Lepisosteus oculatus: one gene and its partners. The protein of the gene in region 3 binds, or shares a complex with, the protein of the main gene of each other region. Links are inferred from orthologs where the notes say so. Each region holds a gene or a part of one and is shown on either strand. Other genes may lie near its edges.

Region 1 (7,133 bases), on a different chromosome or scaffold from region 3:
GAATTCAGATTAACTTGTTTCAAGTTTTGAGTGAATTTTGTATGATCTTTTTTAGACTTATAAAACTTCTGTTGTTGCTGCAGATTTCTGACATGACCATACCTTCTTATATGTTAAATACTGTAGCTCTGCATTAAGTAGTTTTATATATTCTATAAGCACACAGTAATACTGAATATATTTATATTTAGGTTATTGAAAGAGCTATGGTACACTTTCTATAAAAAATAGTTACATGTTTTTCTTTAATTCAATTTCTTGACATATTCAGGTAACCCGAATATAAGCCTGACAAGATATTCTTAGTGGTTTCCCATATTTGGCAGTAAAGTAACACATCCACTAAATGTAGCTCATTCCTAATGACAGCAAATATTCAACTCTATTCAAGACATTGCTGGGTTGTGTCCTGCAGAACATGATTTTAGAAGCTTGTCCTTTCCCTTTCTATATTGTGCAATTAAGAACATTGCATAAATAGCTACTAAAAAAAAACACTGAAAAGGCTGTTCAAAAGCAAGTTGCAATGTTGAAGAATACCGCAGAAGAGCTTCTTTGGCTACTAAGCAGTGGAGAGCAGCTGAGATGACAACACAAAATGAATGGGTCCGTGTATCTGTTGCCTTATGTTTTTCTGGTTCTTGTCCCATGCAAAATCAACAACCTAAACTTAGGTCAGATGTTTTACTGTATTCAAACTGACCTTAGCGAACGCTTGACAGTATTCAGAAGGAGAATGAGCTCAGCAAGGTGAAAGCGGTATAAGGATTCACGTGTCACTGTGTCTCTCTACCTTGCACGTGTGCTGAGTCCTCCCTGTTATCTGTCTGTTAATCACTGCAGGCCAGTGATGTAATGGGCTGCCTTTATGCAGTTTTTGAGAGGTTTTTCTAGTTTCGATCATCACCTGCTGACAGGGGGAATGATCCATTTGCTCCAAGCTCAGTGAAGTTAAAGTTCAAGGTACCATGGGGGTCTTATTTAGTTGTATCCGATCAGAAACACTACATGACTAGAGTTTTGTTGAAGATATCCTGCCGCTATTGCCTAACATGTTACCTACAACATTCGTTTCTTCCTTTTCAGGATTTAATTTTTCAATTACCTGTAACACGACCTGGCTGAGGTTGGTGTGGCAGTGAGCTCTTGGGTCCTGGATTTGGGGTGTGTTTCTGTAAGGTGCCTGCATGTTCTCCCCCATGATTAGATGTTCACTGGGTGCTCTATATGTCACCCATATCCTAGTATTCTTTCTCTGGAAGAAATGCATTTTACGAAAACATTAGCTCCAAGCATTAAAATCTGTCTGCTGCCCTGGGGGGAATTTTCTCATCCAGTCTACCCATCTGTAGTGCAATCATTGGCTACCCATCTGTAGTGCAATCATTGGCAGTCTGGCTTGTTCTTCACTAATCCATCTCAGTTTGTGTGAATGGATTTATCCCCTGTAATTGAGTGCAGTTATTGATTGAGACCTTCTGACATCTGCCCTGAAAGCACTAGCAGAAATGGCTAACTCCAGCCCCCAGTAGCCTGGGGCAACTAACAGGGGCTGTTGATTCCACAGCCGTATCGAGGTGGTGACCTCCAGATTTCTTCATGTCTGTGATGAAATAGGAATGAACAGAAGAGGTTAAGGATCGGTAAATGTAACATGTTAATAAAATTAAAATGATATACTGTATTTGTATTAGTATTGCACAGAACAAAGTCATATGCGTCATAAATAATTCAATTAATTCCAGAAAACATACGGGTCATGTAATGTTAAGATAAAAACAAATTGTACGGAAGAAATAAGAAACTGTCCTATATACCCCAAAGAGCAATAACAGTAATCTTTTTCATTACACTTAGTGTTGTAATGAATTACCCTGCATAAAGAAGGTTGTATCTGCCTGAATATGGTTACTTTGTAAAAGAAACTGAAAAAGAGGGCATTTTTGGTTCCATTATTTCAGTGCAAATCTTAATTTGAGTGTAAAATAGTACAGATAGCCAATATCAAAATTCAGAAGTTTATTTGTTTTTAGAACACTTATTTACACATAATAAGTTGAATTGTTTTCACTTTTTTTCTCAAATGAAATAATTATACATATCAATAATACATTTATAATACAAGGACAAACAACTAATGTTTAAAAAATCCAAAAGAAACATTTAGACTTAATCTAGGATCTCTTAGATTAGCACCCTGTAGTATTTGTAGAACTAATTTAGGCTGTGTAATTTTCTTACTAAACAAAAACATCAGCATAACAAGATGCCAACATTCATGAATCTGGCCCAATATTTGTTAAAGACAATCAAAGCAAATGTCCAATTGAAGACACAGTTCAAAACATTTCTGCTTGATTTCCACAGGTTGCGCAACATTACTGCATCGCTTAGCTGATGCAAAGTTTATTTATAAATTAGTTGGCTGTTGACATGCCAGGGGTTCATTTTGTTACCATGGACAGATGCAGATGACCAGATTAGTAAATGAACCAAAATAATCCAGGTCACAGCCTCTCAAAATGTAATTACACAGACCAGACTAATTGGAAAATAAATAGAATTGGTACTTTAGGACTAATCATTTTTTTCTGATTAGGCTAAGACATTTATTATAGTACATCTCAGTGATGGCAAGATTATCACAGGGTGTAATCCTTCACTTGAATGGAGGTTTACATACACGTCTCGTGAAAGATTACCTGGCAAGACTAATTAATTCAATCTTCTGGACTGCTGAGGAGCGCAGTTTCTAGTTCATCATTATTAGGACAGAATAGAAAGAGGTTCCTAATACATTTGCAGAAGGTCTTCATTACATAATAGTTCTTAATAGTTTCTACACCTGTTCACATAACACTAGAGTTTTCCAGAAAGTTCTTGCAACCAATGAAACCCAGGAAGTTTTGCACAGAAACGTCTACGTTTTCAAACGTGGGGGGGCAGGGGGGGAGAGGGGGATTACCTCTGCCAAAATGTGATATATAACATTAATTCAGATGTTTTGGTGTTACCATCTCTTAGTATGGTTTGACCTTACAAAAGAGAACCATTAATCTTTACAGAAAAAAATCTGTTTTTTTTACCCATTTTTTCCTATACGTGGGGCAAATTTTTGGAGGGGGATTGTGGAAATCTTAACCTGACAGAACGCTTCTCTTGATGTGTCCAATTTAATTTCATGTTACAAAATGATAAGAGGCTAAAGAAATGCAATCGAAATATATGACTTTGACTTAATACACTAATAAACTAATACAATTTTTATCAGTTATACAATTTTAAGACTATGCTCAAATATATATTTTTTGTGGTGTAAAAGCACTAAAAAAACATACAAGAAATTTTCCATAAACATGTTAAGCTTTTAAAGTATTATTCACTGATTTTGCTTAAAGTAGCCATGCACTGCAGCAATTAATTGATCAATATCATATGTAGAGAAGCTAAAATTGTACTCTCATCTGCAATTACTGGAAAACAAAATGACAAAAGTACAATAGGTGTTATCTTAAATTTTAAAAAATCAAATCCATCAATTAGACCTCAAAGAAAGAATAAAAGCTCAGTACATCACGCTTTTACACCATCAACTGAATGTCACATAAAATAAAAGAAGAGTGTACTTTTGCCTTCTCCACTGTCTATCAGAGTGTTAAAGAAAGATACAGTATCTGGCATAAACAGATACTGTACATTTTAAATTATACTGCAATTCCAAACTCTAAAGTGTCAAAATCTGTAAAAATACAGCTCTACATTTCTGTCTCCAGAAATACACATCTTGTTAAAAATATACAGCTCAAATACACCTGACAGGTCTCTTTCCTATTCTTTCCTGTACCAATAATACACAGCAGGCTGTGATTTGAGCCCTTTGTCTTTAGGGCAATGTATTCAATGTTTTATTTTTCCAAACCATGGTGGAAAAGCAGCTTCACTACGTCTAAGACCCAACCCTGAGGCCAGTAAGATGACAGTGTCCTTCATGCTACAGCCAGCGCTCTGCCACCCCACCCACCCCCACCACCTCATCTCTCCCTGCTGTTGGTATCAGCTGTGATGACAGCGGATCAACAGCTCATTTCTAATCTCCTTACGAGCACAGGTATAAGAGGCAGGCAGGCCAGACTCCATGCTCAGAGCAACCCTAGCTTAGAGAAGCAAACCGCGGCCAGTGAGAGCTGGTTTGGGCTCTCGCCTTTGTCTGGCAAATGGTCACCGCCGCATAGACGGTAAGTCCAAGGCTCTGGGTCGAGCAAGGGAACAAAAAGCTGACTCCGGCGGAACGAGACTGACAGATGCAACTGAAGTTGGGTAGCTGTGCACTTGGGAAGCATGAGTGTAGGGGCATTTGAAAGTGACAGAGGAGGCTGTGCTTGAATATTTGCATTCAATTGGCTTGAGTAAGGAGATGAGGTACTGTAGGTGATGAGGTGTTTAGTTTATCTGTAACCAAATAGCCTGTCTCCATAGTTCAGAAAATTTGGTCCACTTTCCATGCAATCCTAGGGGTCAATGGAAGTAGACTGTGCTTTTTACTTTGGGTATTTTCTGTCTCTCATGGTAGAAAACGTAGTGGGATTAAGTAAATTCAGCCTGTGAACATTTTTCCTTGCACAAGGTTGCATTCAGATAGTCAGTAGGTAAGAGACTCTGGGATAAAACACTAGAGAGGGTTAGGATGTATCATACAAAGACCTGAAACATGGACTATTTCAGAGTGACACCAAGATGCAAATGCAGTTGGGTGATGGGAGAAGTCTAAAGGGATAGAACGTATTGTGTTTCTTCCGCACCAAATGCTTTATAACATGGCAGCACTAGTTCAGGCAGTACTTTCTGGGACTGAGTTCAGATTACCGGCAGCCTTACTGGCATATTACTAAAAACCTTGTCAAGATAACAGCATGCTACAATGTGCATCTAGCTTCCATTTATCGTCTCCTGATATGTGCCCGACATAATATTTAAACATTTCAGGTGATCCAGGTTGGGTTGTTTATTGAGATTTATTGAAGATTAACTAGATGGGACTGACTGGGATAGGCTTACTGTGGAGCAGGTTGGTTTTCATCAAATGCGTGGAATATGTAAACTCTCACTGTTGAAGTGTTTCAAGGCTGTGAATTGTTTTGGTCACATCTGATTATTTACACAGACGGAGCTCATGAGTACACAGTAAGGCAGAGCAGGTACCAGTTGAGTAAATACTCACGTAAAAGCTGGTGAAATCCTGCTGGAATTAAAATGTTCATGTTTCTTTGGAGAAATTAGGAAACTGAAGGGTGTGCATTTAGTGGGTTTGATTAAAGAGAAGGGTTCTAGGGTGAAATGTTTAAACTTATTAGTTTAAATTTATTAGTAATAATGTAGACTTCCTTCTTTTAATAGTTCAGAGATTTTTTCCACTTTCCATATAATCCTACAGGTAATCAGTAATAGTTATGCAGTATATATGAGAAAACAATGCATGTTCATGTTTTAAGCAAATTCTGGCAGTGAATTTACATTTTTTCTCTGCACAAGATTTAATGTGCCTGTATGAGGAAGAGGGTTTTTTTGTCATCCAGGAAGAGAGATAACATTGAAACAGTTATGGTTGTCAAGGAAATGGATTATGATAAATTTTTTATTTTCTTTAGGGGTGGGGACCACAAATAAACACAAATAAAAGTCCATAAAAGCAGTTTCAGGGAGTTTTGTTATATCTTGCACAGCGTATGTAATTTCTTTGTGTAAAGCATGCAGGTTGTGCATTCAGTGTGCAGATATTTAGAATCCCCCGGTCAAAGAAACAGATGTTTCTGGTTGCAGACTATATACATATATACTTGAGGAACATGAGACAGAATTGGTTTGTTCCTTCTGTCTCTTTCCCTAGTCAAACAATTCCTTTATTCCAATCCTGCTGAAAACCACTATAAAATGTACAATCCAGCTCCACAAACTTTTAGCTCCATCATAGCTCTGACTGAAGGCAATCTTGATAAAACTGTAAAATGATATTAGGCTGCAAATATGTGAAACTCCTATTGGAATGTATGCCAACTTCTGTTCAAACTGGTTTTCTGCTTGCAGATTCCCAAGCTGCTATTTCCCAGGGGTTCCTGATATTAAATGGAGCCCCAATGGTCTCTTGGTTTATCTGTCACTTAAGATCACGTTGCATATTGGTTAGCACGTTCTTTACATAAAAACAAAGAAAAAGGAACAGTAGGAGAGGCAGCAAATTCATTAAATCAAAGTGATCACCTAAACTACAATGAAACAGACATCTATAATCTGTTTAGCCACATGCAGGGATAAACTGTCTCAGTGTAAGGAGATCTGAACTAAACAGGCCCTAAAATTAGCATACAATATTGTGTTGTCGGATGTTGTCGGAGTGCGAGGATGCAAATTGAATTGAGAAATGCACGTGTCGCTCAGATTACCATGTAAACAGCTGTGCAGGAAGAGCATCTTTTGGAGATTAAAGAGATTTAGAGAGATTTTTGACACTTCAGCACATTTTATGTACAACAGGTATTAAAGCTGGGAGGGTGTAGCACTCAGAACCATAGAGACCACAACAACAGAAACTAGATCTAGCATATATCTGAGGTAAGGCTTTCCAAATGGGCTATGCTGTCAACAATATGCATGTTTATAAATATTGCTAAAGATAGTGGTAGCAACTGAACTGGCATTGCTTTATTTTAAATAATCATCATTTCTCCTTCTGACCTTAGTCAGTAACAACTACAAGTGCCAAAATTGCTGTGTTTTCTTCTTCCTTCTTATTACTTCATATTTTTGGTTCCACAGTGGACATATAATCTTGCTTAGATTTGTATCTCAGAAAAAGAGTTTCCTTTTGTTGAGTGTGCAGCTGTTGTTACAGGTGATGCTGAAGAATGGAATTAATGGCCAGTTTAGTGAACCAGTTCTGAAGGCTTTTTGTGTGGATGAGGGAATGAAGAGAGACAATGAAATGCATTAGGATTTCCCTAGGTGCTTGAACTAGGAGTGGATAAGCCAAATTTGTTAATTACATTATTACTGCTTTGAACAATTTGCTCATCTGAATAAGAAAGGTCTATAAAAGCAAATTGTAGCTGAGAAGATTGGTATGTTGACAACAGAAATGG
Region 2 (7,736 bases), on a different chromosome or scaffold from region 3:
CTCAGCTCAGAATCTAGACTAAAACCATAACTTAACTGCCTCTGCTGTGATGACGTGGGCTACAGTGCTTCTGTACGTATGGTCTTGGGAGAATATGGTACACGCCCTATGCAAAAAAATGAAGATTTGCCAACCACATCCTTTTGAAAAACACAGAATTGTGTAACCGAACTGCCTGCTTTTTTCTGGTGTGTTCCCTCTTTATTGTAATTCATATTTTTGAGTCAAATGCCTAACCAACATTGCATTCCCAAAGAGTGGGCAATCCTCAGTCAGCACCAATGTGTCAAGAGCACAGGCCGTAAACCCGGTGGTAGATCCACAGCTCTTTAACTCAGAGGCTATGTTTCCTCATCAGGGCTGATGGGTTAGCCTGCAAAGCTGTGAAAGGGAACTTTGCACCAGTCTGTGTTGGCAGGCTGGTAGCTACAGTGGAGTGTTTGACGCCATTTTGTTGTCCTCCTGTTGTTGTCCAGCTGGGTTGGGTACGACCAACAGAACTTCACCGGCGAGATGTTCATGCTGGAGAAGGGAGAATATCCCCGCTGGGACACCTGGACCAACAGCTACAGAAATGACCGGTTCATGTCCTTCAGGCCAGTCCGTATGGTGAGCTCTCAGGCCTCTCTCTGTTCTGTCACACCGGGACGTTGTCATTAATAGTTCTTATATTATATAATAGTTCTTCTTATTATAAAGGCGCCTTCCTTCAGATGAGACTAAAACTGAAGTCCTGACTCTCTGTGGTCGTTACAAATCTCAGGGCATTTCTCGAAAAGAGTAGATAGATAGATAATACTTTATTAATCCCGTAGGGGTATTACCCCTGTGTCCTGGCCAAATTTCCCCCTGGCCTTTACCAGTCATGGCCTCCTAATAATCCCCATCTCTGAACTGTCTTCATCGCTCTGCTCTCCTCCCCACTGAGAGCTGGTGTGTGGTGAGAGGACTGGCACATCATCCAGGTGGGGCTGCACACTGGTGGTGGTGGAGGGGATCCCCATTACCTGTGAATCGCTTTGAGTGGAGTGACCAAAAAAACACAATATAAGTGTGAGGAATTCATTAATTCTTTTACAATATGAGATGGGAGATGGGGGATAACCAAGTCTATGCTGCCTGCTTCTTCAGACAGATGACTTTTAATCTGCATAGAGAGGCTTAATGAGTGTTGTTTTTCAACACAGTCATACGTTCAGTATGACTTAAGTTCACAACATGCATCAGCAGAGACCTGGTTCCTACAAGCATCGGGATTACGCAAGAAGGGCGCTGCAGAGTCTAGCGCCTGGAATGCAAAATTGTGCAAAAACTCTTTTCGCGTGAAAGAAAAAGTGGTGCTTTGACAGCAGCCCCCGGACTGCTCTCTCTCTAGGACGCCCAGGACCACAAGATCTGCCTGTTCGAGTGCGTGAACTTCGAGGGGCGCAAGATGGAGGTGTGTGACGAGGATATCCCCAGCCTGTGGTCTTATGGCTTCCAGGACCGCGTGGCCAGCATCCAAGTCATGGGGGGAACGTGAGTCTCAATCAGTCGTCAGTCTGGAGTTCATATAGCGACTTTCCATGGCGATCCTAGGCTTGGGCTTCGTCTTCTCCGCAGGAGGCTCGTGAAGGCACAGCTCTCACTCTCTCTTCTCCCTCTCTCCGTAGCTGGGTGGGGTACCAGTATCCCGGTTACCGTGGCTACCAGTACGTCTTCGAGTGTGGGCCCTACAAGCACTGGAACGAATGGGGCGGCCAGCACCCCCAGATCCAGTCCATCCGCCGAGTGAAGGACATGCAGTGGTACCGCCGGGGCTGCTTTGAGTTCACGGCCTGAGGAAAGGCCACAGTGACCCCAGTGGTCCGCCCGCCCCCGGGCCGACACACTGGAGCTCCACACACAGCTGAGCTCCCTCTGTCCACCCCTCACAGACCAGCCATCACCGCTGTTAGTGTCATTACTGGGAACAGCTCTGCTTGCAGACGGGGGGGAGCCACTGATCCTTAGTCAAAAGGAGGTCGGCTAGTTCATAAGGCAGTGCTTGCGATTCGGCCCTCTGCCAAAGTTATTGCCCAACTCTGAAAGAAGACTGGAGCCACAGTGTTTCTTGCTTACTGGACATATATAATTGATTTTTTTTTATCCTCATAATGACAACAAAAATAATTATAATAATGATAAGAACAGCGCTTGATGGGTTGGTTTGTGCATTCTGTTTCGGGAGCTAAAGAAATTCCCCTTCTGCAAAATTGGACTTTTTAAAAATAGTGATTTTTTATTTATCATTATCATACTTCATATACCATTTAGCCTTTGTTTTGTTCAGTTGTTTGTTTTGATTTCAGTCCATCCGTATTTGAAACATAACGCAATTGACAGAAAGTGTAACAGATAAGTTATATTTAACCATGGAAAGTTCGGAAATGCTTAAGTAAGTGAAAATCCACCCTCAGGACTTTTCCTTGTGGCTTACTTCTGACAGGAGGAAAACCAATACTCGGTTTTTTCAATGAAAAGCGAGTGAGTCTTTGCGATTTAATGTCTCCAAAGACAAGCCCTGCAATCACATGGCCAGCAGAGGGCAGTGTTTCCTGAACTTCAGTACCAGGACTCGTTCTCTTCACAACTGTGACCTCTGTGGTTGTCCATGTAACTTTGACCCTTAGGGCAGGGCCTTCAGACCTCCTCACGCACGGAGGACCCGTGTGCGTTTGGATTTGTGGCCTGATTACACCCTCAATTATTCTGATTGCACACGGGATCTCGTTCAGCGTTTCCCAGCCAAAATCGGTTCATGAAAGGGGTGCCGAAGCTCCTGATGAGATCACACTAAAAATGTGTCTGTTAGGTAGCTGGGAAATTGAAGGTCAAAGGGCCCTTTGGCAGCAGAACTGAGGTTCCCTGCTGCCGACAGGCATGAGCACATATCTGGTGCTCTTTGGGGAGATTAGGAAAAGGGGGTGCAAATTATAGACAGAATGAAGTAACTGCTGCTGAAAATGGCTGGGGAGCCCCAAGGGAAAGCTGCTGCCTATCCTTCTCTTTTGCAAGGGGGGCGATCCTAGAGATTCTGGCAAAGCCGTGTCTTTCTCAGGGATGCTGGTATCTGGAAATCTGAGGCTTTTTTCAGGGCCTGGAAAAAGAGAGATTCCGAACCTCGACGCTACTGCATGTCGCAGCCAGAGACTCCTGCGCTTAGATTTTATTTCTGCTTTTATTATTTTATTCACCCGTTCGCGTCCCCCACCCCCCTCACTGCCAACTGCATTTAATTTGTGTATCCTATTCCTGAATAAATGTGGACAGTCTTTTAACGACACATCTTGAGTCTGGTTTCTGAACGAGCCCTGAATGTTTCCCCGAAAAACAAACAAACAACAACAACCGAAGTTTTCCCCGCGCAACACCGACAGCGAGCGCGGTCTCGGCGAAGTATGGCAGCGCCGTGTCTCTTGAGCGTCGCCGCCCACCGCGGTACTCACGGGATCCGAGAGAGCACAGCGCAGGGGGGCTTCCTACAGGAGCCAGCAGCGAGGGGCGCATCCGACATTCTGGGCTTCTCCCTGAAACACACCACCAGACTGAGAGACAGCATGTTAATTATAATAATAATTGCTGACACTTATATAGCGCTTTTCTGGACACTCCACTCAAAGCGCTTTACAGGTAATGGGGATCCCCTCCACCACCACCAGCATCCACCTTAAGCGGATGTTAAGCGCAGGGGAGATCGTCTTTGTCATTGCTGGAATTGATCACATCGACACTCGCGGTTTCGAGGTGCTTCGCCAGGCAGGACAGCTCCGGCGGCTGGGATGACGGCAGGCGGGGATTGTATCGAGGCGGCTGGTCGTCGCTCAAATCCGGGCGTTACTGCGGCGGGTGTCATGTCTGAACTTCAGCGCCGCCGCCGCCGCCGCCTGCACTGACATTCTGTTCGTTTCGGACTCATCACACGGATTTATCCAGAAGTTCAGCGAGATCCTCAGAGCTCCTCAGCGCCGGAGACGGGGAGCGAAGGCTGTAGCGCAGAAACACCACATTTCAGTGACTTATCTTGGGCTACACTTTGAAAATTAAAAGTAGATTAGCCCACTTGTTTCCTGCGATATTTTATTGTCCCGACTTTTGCACTTCCTGAATATATACTGTATGGGGGGCATGAAATGCTATTCACAAGGGCTGTGTGGTGTAGCTGTAATAAATAAATGGTGGATGTTAACTACGTAACACATTTCTATTCAATATTTTGGTCGTAATCCTCATAATAAATAGGGCGACGTCTTGAGCAGATTACTGCAAACTGCGTGCCCGTGGAAACGTTCAAAGCCAAGCTCTGAGACACGGGTACATCGCTACCCAAACCCACTGAGCGAAGAAAAAAAAAACGACAACTTCTCCTCAGCTTCCTGCCAACGCAGAAAAATGGGCCATACCACAAGTCTGAGAGGGGAGGTTTCGGTACAGAGGCAGATACATTTCACGATTATCCAGGCGTGAATGGCGACAAACACGTCTGAGTCTGGCTGCAGAATCTGTCGTTCGCCGCCCCAGACGTGCGCCGGTCGCTCCGGCCGCTGGCGCTACCGCCGTTGTGACACCAGAAATAAAGGCTTCTCCCTTTCCGAAAGCCGGGGAAACTAAGTGGGACCCCACTGTGTACAAGAGCGTGTGCATGTCTGTGGCGTGTGCGCGTCCGTCAGTGTCTGTGTTGCGGAGAGACCGCTTCCTTTGCGTCTCGGCCGGAGAGAGTGGCGCTCGGCGAGCTAGCGCTCAACACAGAGCCGGCACAGGCGCAGTCTGGCGCGGGCGGCGGATGCTCTGGGCAGTCGCTGGCCGAAAACGGAAAGGATCTGTAGAACAGGGGGATTTAAATAAAATACCGAGCGGGCGCACTAGCAGCGAAGCGACTGACGGGAGCGAGCGAGCGAGCGAGCGAGGGAGAGAGAGGGGGGAGAGTGTTTTGTATCTTTACTAGTGGGGGGGAGGAGGAGAATGAGCTATTCTTGTATCGGCACAGAGGCTGTCTGCAATAGCCAGGACTCATCCAGCAGCAGCGCTCAGAGGTCTGGCACTAGTAAAAGCAATAATCCCAGCGGTGGCAGCGGCAGAAGCGCGGAGAGCAGCGACCACCAGACCCAGGACACCCCGACCCCCAAACCACTCGTGGCAATGAGAGTGAAGAAAGGCTGTAACTCCACCGAAACAGGGGTCCCGGTCACCACGGAGGAGGAACTGCTCAGGAAACCCGTGATCACCCCCGAGGATGTGCTGGGGTTGCAGAAGATCACCGAAAGTAAGTGGCGTCGGTTATTGCAGTTATCGTCATCGCTGTCGCGGCGTCCGGTCTTAAAGGATGCCCGTGTGCGCGGTATCTCGCTCCGGTAATGTTCGGCACCCGAAGGGCGGACGGGGACCGTATTTCCTAGGTGCCACATTGGGGCGATACCGACGGGGTAGCTAGAGTCTGCGACGTCGCTGCTCGGCTCTTCCGTGGCGTGGAAACTCTCATCTGCACCCGTTGTTTCCTGTCTGAACGGATCAAATACAGCCCGTCAGGGGTCGGAGTTTCACCGCAGATCGGTAGTTTTCTGTTCAGGGAAGACCTGGTTAGTTTGGCATAAATGTGCGCTTTAAAGAGGAGTGCAGTAGGAGTTCAGCCCCGATATAGAAACAACCTTGGCACCCCCACTTGAAACCGCTACACCTTAGCAGCGCGATAACCAGGATGAGGAGCACAGTTGCTGTTATAAACGCTACCCCCGGTTTGGTGGTTGTTAGCATCTCGGAGCTCCGTATCTCATGTACAGCTTGACAATCTGTTTCCCAGTAGGTCTCCCCCGTGCATTACAGCCGACGGGTATGATTGTGAAGGGGCGAAACCTCTTTCACAGCCCTCATTTACCTGAGAGGCTGAAGTACAGACCGCTGTTGAGCGACAGCTCACAAACACGGCGAGAGCTCGCTCATACAGTGTGTTCCCAGCCATTTCCTCTTGATCCGCTATAGCGTTATCATTAAACGCAAGCAGAAACTGATCTTATACCGCTGCCCGGTTCCTGATGTTGGTTTTCACGTTAAATGTCTTTCCAAACCCCTGATATTTCAGGGAGCGCAAGAGTGTGTGTTAACACGGACGGGAAAAAGGCTGCCAGGTTTTAAGACGGATCTGTAATGGACATGTTATAAGCGGCTTCCCGACACTGGACTCGCAGCCTTCTGCGATACAGTGGGCTGGAAAGGGAGACAGAGAGCCTTATGTAATTTTCCATTACAGAAAACGCAAAGGTTTTCCGACCGTTCCTCGACCTTAAATACTTAGGATTGACTTCAGAATATGTGGATATGTTAATAAAATAATAGAAGATATAATCCTGGAAATAAAACAAATGTGTTCCCAAGCGGACAGGGGTGAGACAGACAGCGAATACGTTGCCACATTCACACCGGGTCTGCCACTGGAAGGAAAATGCCTGCCGGCAATAAGGGATTAGTCACTCGTTATCTTTCTCCCATAGTCTCATCCCGCAGTCTCTCTCTCTCCCGCTGCGTGAGTGTGCATGAACTGTGCATGTTTCTGCGGAGACTGAGCCACAGTGTCCCAACAGCGGTAACGAGTGACATGACGCGTGTGCAGGTGCGCACACGCAGAACCGCGAGTGTCGCATCCCGAGCGGCGCCGGGCCGCTCTGTGACTGACCTGACCCTGGGTAGGCAACAGGTGGTCGCATGGATCGAGAAAGGCGGGCCCTGGCTATTTTAAGAACCGCGGAAGATGTTACACAACGCACAGCCGCCGGTTTTATTCCGGCCTGTTTCTGAGCGATTGCTTTTGGTCTGCTTTGGCAGTGCCCAGCGCGGGCTCTGCGGGGGCCGTCTGTTTAACCCCCCCCCACCCAGCGTGGCTGAGTGATCAATCCTTCTATCTCCCCAGTTTCTCATTCGATCCATGTTCGACACACAGTGACAGTCACGGCACGTCCACCCGCGTTCCCGGCGCAGAGAGACCATGTTGGAGTTTCCAACTGACCATGACTGGTCCCAGATTCTTATTTCCTGCCCTTCTGAATCAGAACAGATTGGTTGGGGATGGGTGTCACTGCTCAGGCCGGTATTAAGGATCTGTCTTGGAAGCCCTACTGGGGCAGGTTAGGGGCATCGGGCAATCATGAGGTTCAGAAACGCTCCTGTTTTATTTAAACGTGATAGTACTTTCTATACAGTGTACTTTTTGGAACTGGGTCTAATTGTTGCGCTTGTTTAATTTTAATCTAAGTGTGGCTTCTACCTTCGACCATATGACAACTTAAGTGAGTCTGTAGGTCACGAACTATTATCCTCAGCAACGACATAGTAATTACGAGCGTTATTAAATATGGTATAACAGTATGGTTCGGTGATTTATCGGTGCAGGTAAGTTAAAAAATGTCTTTTCCAAAGACAAACAGCAGTCAAAATTATGGACATGAAGCAGCTCTCCTCCTCACAGACAATTCTTAAACAGTCCATTAGACAGGCAGAAAGAAATCATTTTCTTAATTCTAAATATCAACTTTTAGGGCTCCCAAATGTAGATCAAATTGATAAAAATATTTGTTTGTTCCCTTATCTATTAAAGCAATTAAAACATTATAAATGGTTGAATGATTATGCTGTAACAGACTATGTCCGTGCATTATGTCATGTCAGTGTTGTGACGAGTTATGCACATGCAATACTGTAGATGCGATGTGTAATGTTTTGTGATGTGG
Region 3 (8,027 bases):
TCCACCCTGTCTGAAGTTTAAGGACTGATATTTTCAGCTTGTGTCGGGAAGGCTAGTCAATGCTAGGTGCATGAATATGTGCTCTTAAGTAAAACTCACAGAGTTTTTGCATTATCTGTGATGTTGCATGCATTGAGTATCGTACATATGTTAATGTAAGCTAATAGTAGCCTATTCGTGAACAAAAAGAAATATTCAAATGATTGTGGAAAGAAATATTGGCAATTCTACAAAACAGGATTTTGAATTTGCAGTCCAGCATAGAGGACCTGTTGTAAAAAAGGTGTTTTGTTTTCACACCATTTGCAACTAAAGAATGACAGTGTCTGTATTCATTTGTATCAAAGTAAGTCTTATAGTTAGCGTGAATTCACACAAAAACATTTCTTAAATATGGAAGGCCTCAGCCAGTTTCCCAACACAGAGTGTGTCTGTGTACTTTGCATTTGGGACATTTATAAATAACAAGAGAGTATAGTGTCCAGATAGAGGAGCTACAGGTTTTTAAACATGTACCGCTAGCAGGGATTGTGATAAGGGCATGCCAAGCTAATTATTTCTGGACTAAGCCTTTTAAGTCAGGACACAGATAGAGTGCGTCATGGGGAGCTCTTTAAGCACTCTTTTATCTCTTGATCCATATTTGCATGGGATACTTCGAGTCACTAAATATCGATCACAGCAGAAGCTATTTCTCGCCTTAATAGGTTTTTTACAACCTGTGGGTATCCCCACGGCTGGTCTGGATATGATACAGTAGCCCAACAAAAATAAAGCCCTCATGCTACAGATGATTGCTGCCTCCTCTAGTTGTGTTCTGAATAGACTGCTCTGAATATCTGTATAAAAATGAAACTCTTGTCATTTTGACTTCTCTACAGAAATCTGAAGCCTCAGTTACATTGTACCAGTCTGGAGGATAAACACATAGCAGGAAGGCCCAACCTGGGCACTGAATACTGTATGTCCAGGTATGTGTTGAATCCTTACTTAACATTCTGGTCCTGACCTAAGTAGAATTACAAAGAGCTTTTTTTTAAGTAACCCACTTATGTCTTTCAATGTACTGTAACAATGGTTTAATATCGGGAGCGTGTCTTTCAGAGTGAACACTACTACAAAAAATAAATTAAAATTATCAACTTATTTCACACATTATGAAATGGAAAGAATGTCTTGTTTCTCCAATAAAAGTGTACTAGCTCAAAGTGTACTGTAGAATACAGAATACAATAGTACAGAATGATTAACAATAAAATGACATATGTAACAATATACAGCATACAGTATTATCCTTTCTACGTATAAGAAGAAGTGACCATAACATCAGCTGTGTAGTTCAAATAAATTTTAGGAGTAAGACTGTAGTTCCTGCCGATTCATAGGCATAAATACGGGCCTCTAGTCCAATGTAGTGTTTTTGGTGTTAATACATCTCTTCCACCCTAATTCACCACCACTAAGCCAGCAAAGAGAGAACAATGACAAAAACCACCATAGGAAAAGCCTAAGAACAGCTGAGCTTCCAGCCTCAAGAAAGGTTTTAGGGTGTATTTTACTTAATCATGTGTTTCTGAGGTGTTACACAGGAGTACTGGGTTTGTCTGGTCAAGGCTACTGCATATGATTTTGTTGTAATCACATAGTGATATACAGTAAATAAAGGATTTTTTTACATTCCTTAGAACATTATTTAACAATATCTGTTAGGATATATTTGAGTTTTAAATGTTGTTAGTGAATGCATTTAAATAATTTGAGCACATAATTGGGATTAAAGCATTGTTTGGCTTGAGGCCGTTAGATGGTGTCAGGGTTCCTCATTTTACAGTGATTTATTGTACATCTTTACCCAAATGCGGTGGACATGGTTTAAAAGCCTGTAGGGTTCATGAGATTACTGTAGGTTGATACATTTGGAGAATGTAGGACTTGTTGTTTCCAAGTAGGGGAGTATTGTGACTAGTTCCAAAATGAATCAAACACAAATTCAGAGCTAGAACAGGCCGAAAAGCAGCCACTTACATTTAGATGTAGTGGTAAAAAGGAGTCACTGTAGCTTTAGAACATTGAGGCTACATTTTCTCTGTACCTTTTTAAGGTGTTAGACAGATATTTGCATTTTGCTTTCCAAACTTTTTTGCAAAAAAGAAACGCGTACAACAATAACCTTTGCACTGTATTTTTGCCTTATTTTGTTAAGAAAATTCTGGTCCGAGCAAATGTATACCACATTATCTTTGCTTTTTGAAAACAAAATCATCTGCCACACTGTTGGAGATATGAAAGCAAGATGCTATTGTAAGCCAATTATCTGATTGTAGACAGCAACAAAAATACAGGCAGAACACCACTAGATTTAAATGAGCCTATCTTTCCAAAGAAACCCACCATCACTTATTCTAATCCAAAGGATAGTCAAACAAACTGCAGTTCTGAATGCCACAGAATCCTAGGAAAGGTGTCTCCTGATTTCATGCCCAGGAAAAGATTTGCCCAGTAGATTTTTTTTTGCCTAACTAACTCTTAAGATTAGTGAATTCCACAGAATGCAAGTGAATTCTGTACAACCTTCACCAGTAGTGTAAACCCTCAGAACAAACTCCCTCAAAGCAGAGTCTTATTGGTTTTCCCTCTTGCACTAGATAGGGGAAACAAGAAAGCTTATATTAGTAAACACAGCGCCTTGCCCTGCACAAGTCAGACTTTACCCAGCAGCAGCAGTTTGACAGTCCTGGCATCCTTGTCCGCATCTTCCTTGAGCTTCTTCTCCAGCTCTCTGGAGTGTTTCTCCTCAGCGCTGGCACCTGCTCCCATCCTGGAACCTTTGGGCTTGTTTTTTTGACCGACGAGAATGAAGTTGGGGAGTTTTTCTCAATGAGATCAAAAATGAAATTGGGGGGGAGGGGGGGAGGCCTCAGGTGAGTCCTTGATGGCCGGTTCACCGTCCGAAGCCTTCTCTGGCCTCAGCGACGCAGCTGGGACATCAACTGCCTCTCGCTTGCCTGCAAATGTCGGCGTCTTTTACTTCTTAGACGGATTTCGTGTACCCCTGGAGTCACCTGGTTCTCGGCAGCCAACAGGAGACAAGGACAGGGTAGTGAGGGGTAACTAGGAAAAAGTGAAAGGATGGAGGGGGGAGGTGGGGCAGGAGAATTAGAAAAAGATTTAGGCAGAGTTTGCTTTGCTCAGCTGAAGGTGCAGAATGTGATGCAGTTAAGTCGACTAAACCGCTTACCTTCAATTATATACACACGCATGCTCATTAAGCAGTGCATAGGCAGTGTAACAGTGCAAGGCTTTTAATTGCTCTGTGCACGCTGTAGTTTAGTTTAATGCTTGGATAGGGGAAATCGGACAACCTGATTCATGGAAGATGAGGTGACTTGTGTTATAGAAGCTAATGAACGGTTGAAGCCTTTGATCTCGCACACCTCAAAGGCTATTGTAAAGCCTGTTGAAAGGAATTCAGTCCTTAAACACAATTTTTCTAATATGAAAGTAATCTAGACTGGTGCGGAGTTGGGGCCTGAACTGTAGTAATAAACATTGCAAACTGTGGTGCTTGACATACTGATGGAAAAGTAGACAATTGATAATTGTCCAGAAGGAGTTTAGTCATCTGTAGAGTGGGAAGTAAATGTTATTGAATTGTATTGAAAAGTGCTCTTTTTTTCAGTGTTGGGAATGGCTTAATGAGGAGATATTGAATAATGCATGAAACCCCAGAGTGCCTCTTTTTTATGAATCCATAAATTAGGCATTCATTTATAGTGATGGGGAAGGGACACACAGCCCTTGAGTACTGGGGTAATAATGTGATAGATTCAACATACAAAAACACTAGATGTGTGTGAGAGAGAATGGGCTTGACATACAGGTCTCCATCTCAGCCATTTTTGGTGTCATCTCGACCTCACACTTGATACCCATGGTCCTCAGAAACAGGCTGCAATGCTAAGGTCACTGACGATACACTCTGTCAGAACTGCAGGCAGGCCAGTCCTTCTGACAGCAGCCCAAGGTGTAGAAAAGGGATATCCACTTGTCTCTTTACATGTTTTCATTCAATACCAGTACTGTATGTGATTCAAAGTGAGTCAAAAATAATCTTGCTAAATCTGTGTGAAGTGTCTTAAGATTTAAACAGTGGCTGTATGAACAGTTTTCAGGACACACAAACCTGTGGTGACAGCTGTGCCATTCTTCACAAATATTAAAAAGGTCTCCATTTTAAGAGCATGGTGTTTTTCGTGTCATTGTATTGAAATGGCAATGAATTTAGAATCCCCCTTTCCCTCCTTGTGTTATCACTGCAGATTGAAGGAGTTTTTCAAGGCTTACTCCCAAATCTCTTGAGGTGCTTAAAGGGGAGCTTTAATGTCTCACCTGCCAGCTCTTATTGACCTCAATCTGTGGATGCAAAAAGAGCTTTATCCACAGCCTGTCCTAGAGGGTCTCATTGAAGAGACCTTCATCCTCCAGCTGAACTGACTATAGCAGGATATTTATATATATTTATATATAGTTCAGGTGGGTACCTGAAGAAGGCTCCACGGCCGAAACGTTGTGTTCTCTTTCTTCTTTTTTTCAGCATGGAATAAACCTATTACTTGTTCCTCAGTTTTATTATGTGCAATATTGAGGCAGAAATGTGAACACCTTGTTGACAATTTAGTGATTGATTTCCCTGCATGTAGTGCTAGCAGTCTTGCAGTGAAAAGTGCTGTCAGCTCTCAGGTTTTTACCTAGTGGCATCACCTTTTGTCAGACATTTGATATTAATATGAGAAAATGACTGCAGAATATGGTGCGAACTATCTGTCACAGGAGAATTTGGATAGAATTAGTGTGAAACATTTTGGAAAGGGTGAACAAATGTGAGAGTGCTGTGAACTGAATGATACCACTGTCTGCTGTCTGAGAGAACCATGTGACCAGAATTGATATGCAAGGACAGTCGACAAAGGTTGCTCTTCCTATTATCCACAAAGGTTTGCAAAGTGCCCTAGGGCAGATGTTCAGTAATTAACACAAGACTCTTGCAAATATGCCAGGCTTCTCTTTTGGTTCCTTTATGGCTCCCAGCACTGGTGTCATTCAGCACCATGACAACACACACCCTCACAGGGAGCAGTGCATGGAGGAGCTTGCTGTTGAAAGGTGACTAGACCAGTCAACCTATTGTATGAGCTGTTGTGGTGGGGGGGGTCTCATCGTCCCCACCTGTGAAGCATATTTGGTAGAAATTTAACTTTCATAAATTCCCTTAATGATTAACTGTCGTAGTGGAATAACTTTAATACCTATAGTGCCTCTGCCTTTTATCATTAATTTGTTGTCATTAGTTCTAGCTGTTTGCTAGAACAAAAGCTAGTCCAGTGCTTTTGTGAGATAAAAGAAGGTGATATTGAAAGGTTTACATTGTTCTGGAGGTTTTTCTATGCAGTAAAGGTTGTGTTAGTGAGGTGGTTAAGGAGGCTTCTTGTGATTATTATACTTGTGACAGACAGCGAGGCAATTCTTCCATCATTTCTACAGTTTTTCATTTACCTGTGCGCATAAAAACATTCCATTCTTAATCTGAAACTGAATTCTTAAATCAGTTAACATGATGTTATTCACCAAATTTACATTTATAATGTTTCAAATGTGTATCCTGCTTTGCGGCCGTAGTTTGCTGAGATAGGCCTCAGCTCCCCTGTGACCTTGTATTGGAGGAAGTGGTTAGAAAATGGATGGATACGTCACATGCTCAAAATGTAGTTGGCATTCACTGTAGTTGACACATTAAGACTTAGGAATTTTTCAACAGCTGTGTTCCTCGGTAAACCATGGTACCATTGAATAAAATCACAGTGCAACCTTCATGCTGCTTTAACCAGTCCAGTCCAAATCCGTTATGTATCATCCTGAGAAAGATACAATACAGAATGTGTTGTGTTCTGTTCCTTCAGTTGTATACTGTTCAGTCAAACATCTTCATCATCCAGGGCAGATGGTTAGTGGCTAAGTGGCTCGTGACAATTTCAGATTGCAGCTGTCGACATTTTTTAAAATCAGAATCAGACATTTCAAGATTGACGGGTATCAGCAACGTCTCACAACTCCCTCAGCATGCGCTCAATATTGAAATGTAACTTGGGTGATGTTGGACTAATGAATTTAGATATGAAAATGGCTGCACTGAAATATCAAAATGCAGCCACAAAGTTCTACTGGTTTGGTTACAAATTAAACCTGTTAAGCCCAAACTTTGTATTGATTATCTTGGGGCAAATAGAATTATAATGCTTAAAAATCATACTGCTGTGTAAAGTAACTGTTGTAATAACAGGTATCAGGTATCATCCATGCACAATAGTATTCAAATTCTGGAATGAAATTAATCAACAAATTAATCAACATTTTTCCTAAACTGCTGTTTTATCCTTGGTAAAATGTGATTCATATTACTTTTCTATATTTTTTTATCTTCCCTGATTACACTAGTCATGCTGATAAGTATGATAACGAATACTGTAATTATATCATAATAAATACTGTGAGTCTTTGCTGCCATCTTGTGATTATTAAACTGAACATAGCAGTCTTTTTTTAGACAACTACATTTCTAAATTGGTCATCATCTTTGAAAAGGATACTGTAACTCTTTATAGACTTACAGTGGAAATACTACTTCCAGCAGCAACAGTATTTGAATTTTCTTTTTTATTCTAACTAAAATCAGTGTAGGTAAATATTACCAATAGTTAAACACTTGTACAATGCTGCAGTTTAATTTTGAAAAGCGATAGGAAAATAGGAGGCAACTTTTCTGGCTTATGGGGCTGGGGGATTCGTCTTAAAATGTATTACCATCTAAACAATCATTTCTTCTTGCATCTTAAAATAACAATAAATCATTTTTTTACTACTAATGAAGACATCATTAATAGTAAGAACACTATCCTTTGTGTTATATGCTCCTCTTTAGTTATTTATGGGGTCACAATGTCTAGTGAAACAGAATCTCCGTCAATATGAAGTACTGAAATGCATTTCATTCTAATTAGCACAACCTATTAATTATAATTATTGTCTAATGTTTTGCATGTCCCCACTAAGCATTCATGTCTCAGTAAAGAGTTTGAAAAACATTTGAATTCTGAGGCTGAAGCTTATTTGATTTGAATTATTTTGAAGATCCCAAGAACACGATGAAGCAAGCAAAAACTGAGACCACATTTTCAGTAGTCATTTAATTTTGTGCTATTTGTTAACAAATCATTGGTTTATTTTTAAATGTACTTTTCTGCTAGTCTCCTTTTCAACTTGCTGCTTTAGAACTAACTATGCCATGTGTACCTGAGTTCAATGGCTGATAAACATTTCTGTCCTTGGAAACCTAAATTAAGAGTACTAGCAGCAAATGTAAAAGTAACTAAAGTGAATTTCATTAAAATTTGTATCCAATTGCTCATCTGTTCTTTGTATTCAGTTTTTATCTTAAATAACACAGGCTGCTAACATGTCATATCTTGTTTAAATTTCATGAAAAACCCTAGTAAACTCAGTTTGCCTGCCCGTGCTCATTGTGAGAAGTACTTTGATCTCCAATTGACCAAGGTATGTACAGTAGTATCCAGTTTTGAATAATATAGCATTCAGGAATTATTTTACTGGAAACAGTTTCTGTATTCTTATGCATTTCACAATAGCATTCAAAAAAGTTTATTTTTGTAATAACTTGTAAGGACAGTCTCTTAGGCTTGTGTTAAAGGGAACACTTTTCTCTTACACTGTATCGTGAGTGTTGTCTAGTGGACAGTGTTCTCTATCAGTTGGAATCCGGTTATATGGGTGACAAAGATCGTCATTTCCATCAAATCATGTTCAAAGTTTCTTGCTGCAGTTGTCTCATTTGTAGTCATGGGCAGTTAAGGTACAACAGTGTTGGTAGAGTTTGCATTGAAACAGGATAAGGACATCTGGCCTAGATGTTGCTATTTTGTTGATCACGAGGGTGACAATTGAGGATCTCAGAT

What was found.
Region 1: the proteins of gnat1 (region 3) and pde6gb are in contact, whole or in part, in a cryo-EM structure (PDB 7JSN), measured with the Bos taurus proteins. The link is inferred for Lepisosteus oculatus from reciprocal best matches to the Homo sapiens genes GNAT1 and PDE6G. Residues at the interface, in NP_851365.1 of Bos taurus: Ser140, Arg201, Arg204, Lys205, Trp207, Ile208, Phe211, Asp227, Val229, Glu235, Val236, Asn237, His240, Glu241, His244, Leu245, Ser248, Ile249, Ile281, Phe283, Glu305, Leu306, Met308; in NP_776846.1 of Bos taurus: Arg36, Gln37, Phe38, Lys39, Ser40, Lys41, Pro42, Pro43, Lys45, Leu60, Val66, Ile67, Cys68, Pro69, Trp70, Glu71, Phe73, Asn74, His75, Leu76, Glu77, Leu78.
Region 2: the proteins of gnat1 (region 3) and unc119a1 are in contact, whole or in part, in a crystal structure (PDB 3RBQ), measured with the Homo sapiens proteins. The link is inferred for Lepisosteus oculatus from reciprocal best matches to the Homo sapiens genes GNAT1 and UNC119. Residues at the interface, in NP_000163.2 of Homo sapiens: Gly2, Ala3, Gly4, Ala5, Ser6, Ala7, Glu8; in NP_005139.1 of Homo sapiens: Asp87, Phe88, Val89, Arg90, Phe91, Ile105, Lys106, Lys107, Gly126, Arg127, Phe128, Val129, Tyr131, Phe137, Val147, Glu163, Leu172, Ser218, Tyr220, Asn230.

The regions. Positions count from the first base shown.
Region 1 is NC_090704.1:42,805,208-42,812,340, reverse strand, and holds the start of pde6gb (phosphodiesterase 6G, cGMP-specific, rod, gamma, paralog b), read left to right. Parts: upstream 1-4,124; 5' UTR 4,125-4,235; intron 4,236-6,511; exon of another isoform or gene 6,512-6,606; intron 6,607-7,133.
Region 2 is NC_090721.1:8,823,726-8,831,461, reverse strand, and holds the start of unc119a1 (protein unc-119 homolog A), read left to right. Parts: upstream 1-4,680; 5' UTR 4,681-4,980; coding exon 4,981-5,281; intron 5,282-7,736. Other genes in the region: crybb1l3 (crystallin, beta B1, like 3), read left to right, coding at 477-609, 1,376-1,518, 1,653-1,821. UniProt on the Homo sapiens protein: Involved in synaptic functions in photoreceptor cells, the signal transduction in immune cells as a Src family kinase activator, endosome recycling, the uptake of bacteria and endocytosis, protein trafficking in sensory neurons and as lipid-binding chaperone with specificity for a diverse subset of myristoylated proteins.
Region 3 is NC_090699.1:54,668,240-54,676,266, reverse strand, and holds the start of gnat1 (guanine nucleotide-binding protein G(t) subunit alpha-1), read right to left. Parts: upstream 3,091-8,027; 5' UTR 2,818-3,090; coding exon 2,712-2,817; intron 1-2,711. UniProt on the Homo sapiens protein: Functions as a signal transducer for the rod photoreceptor RHO. Required for normal RHO-mediated light perception by the retina.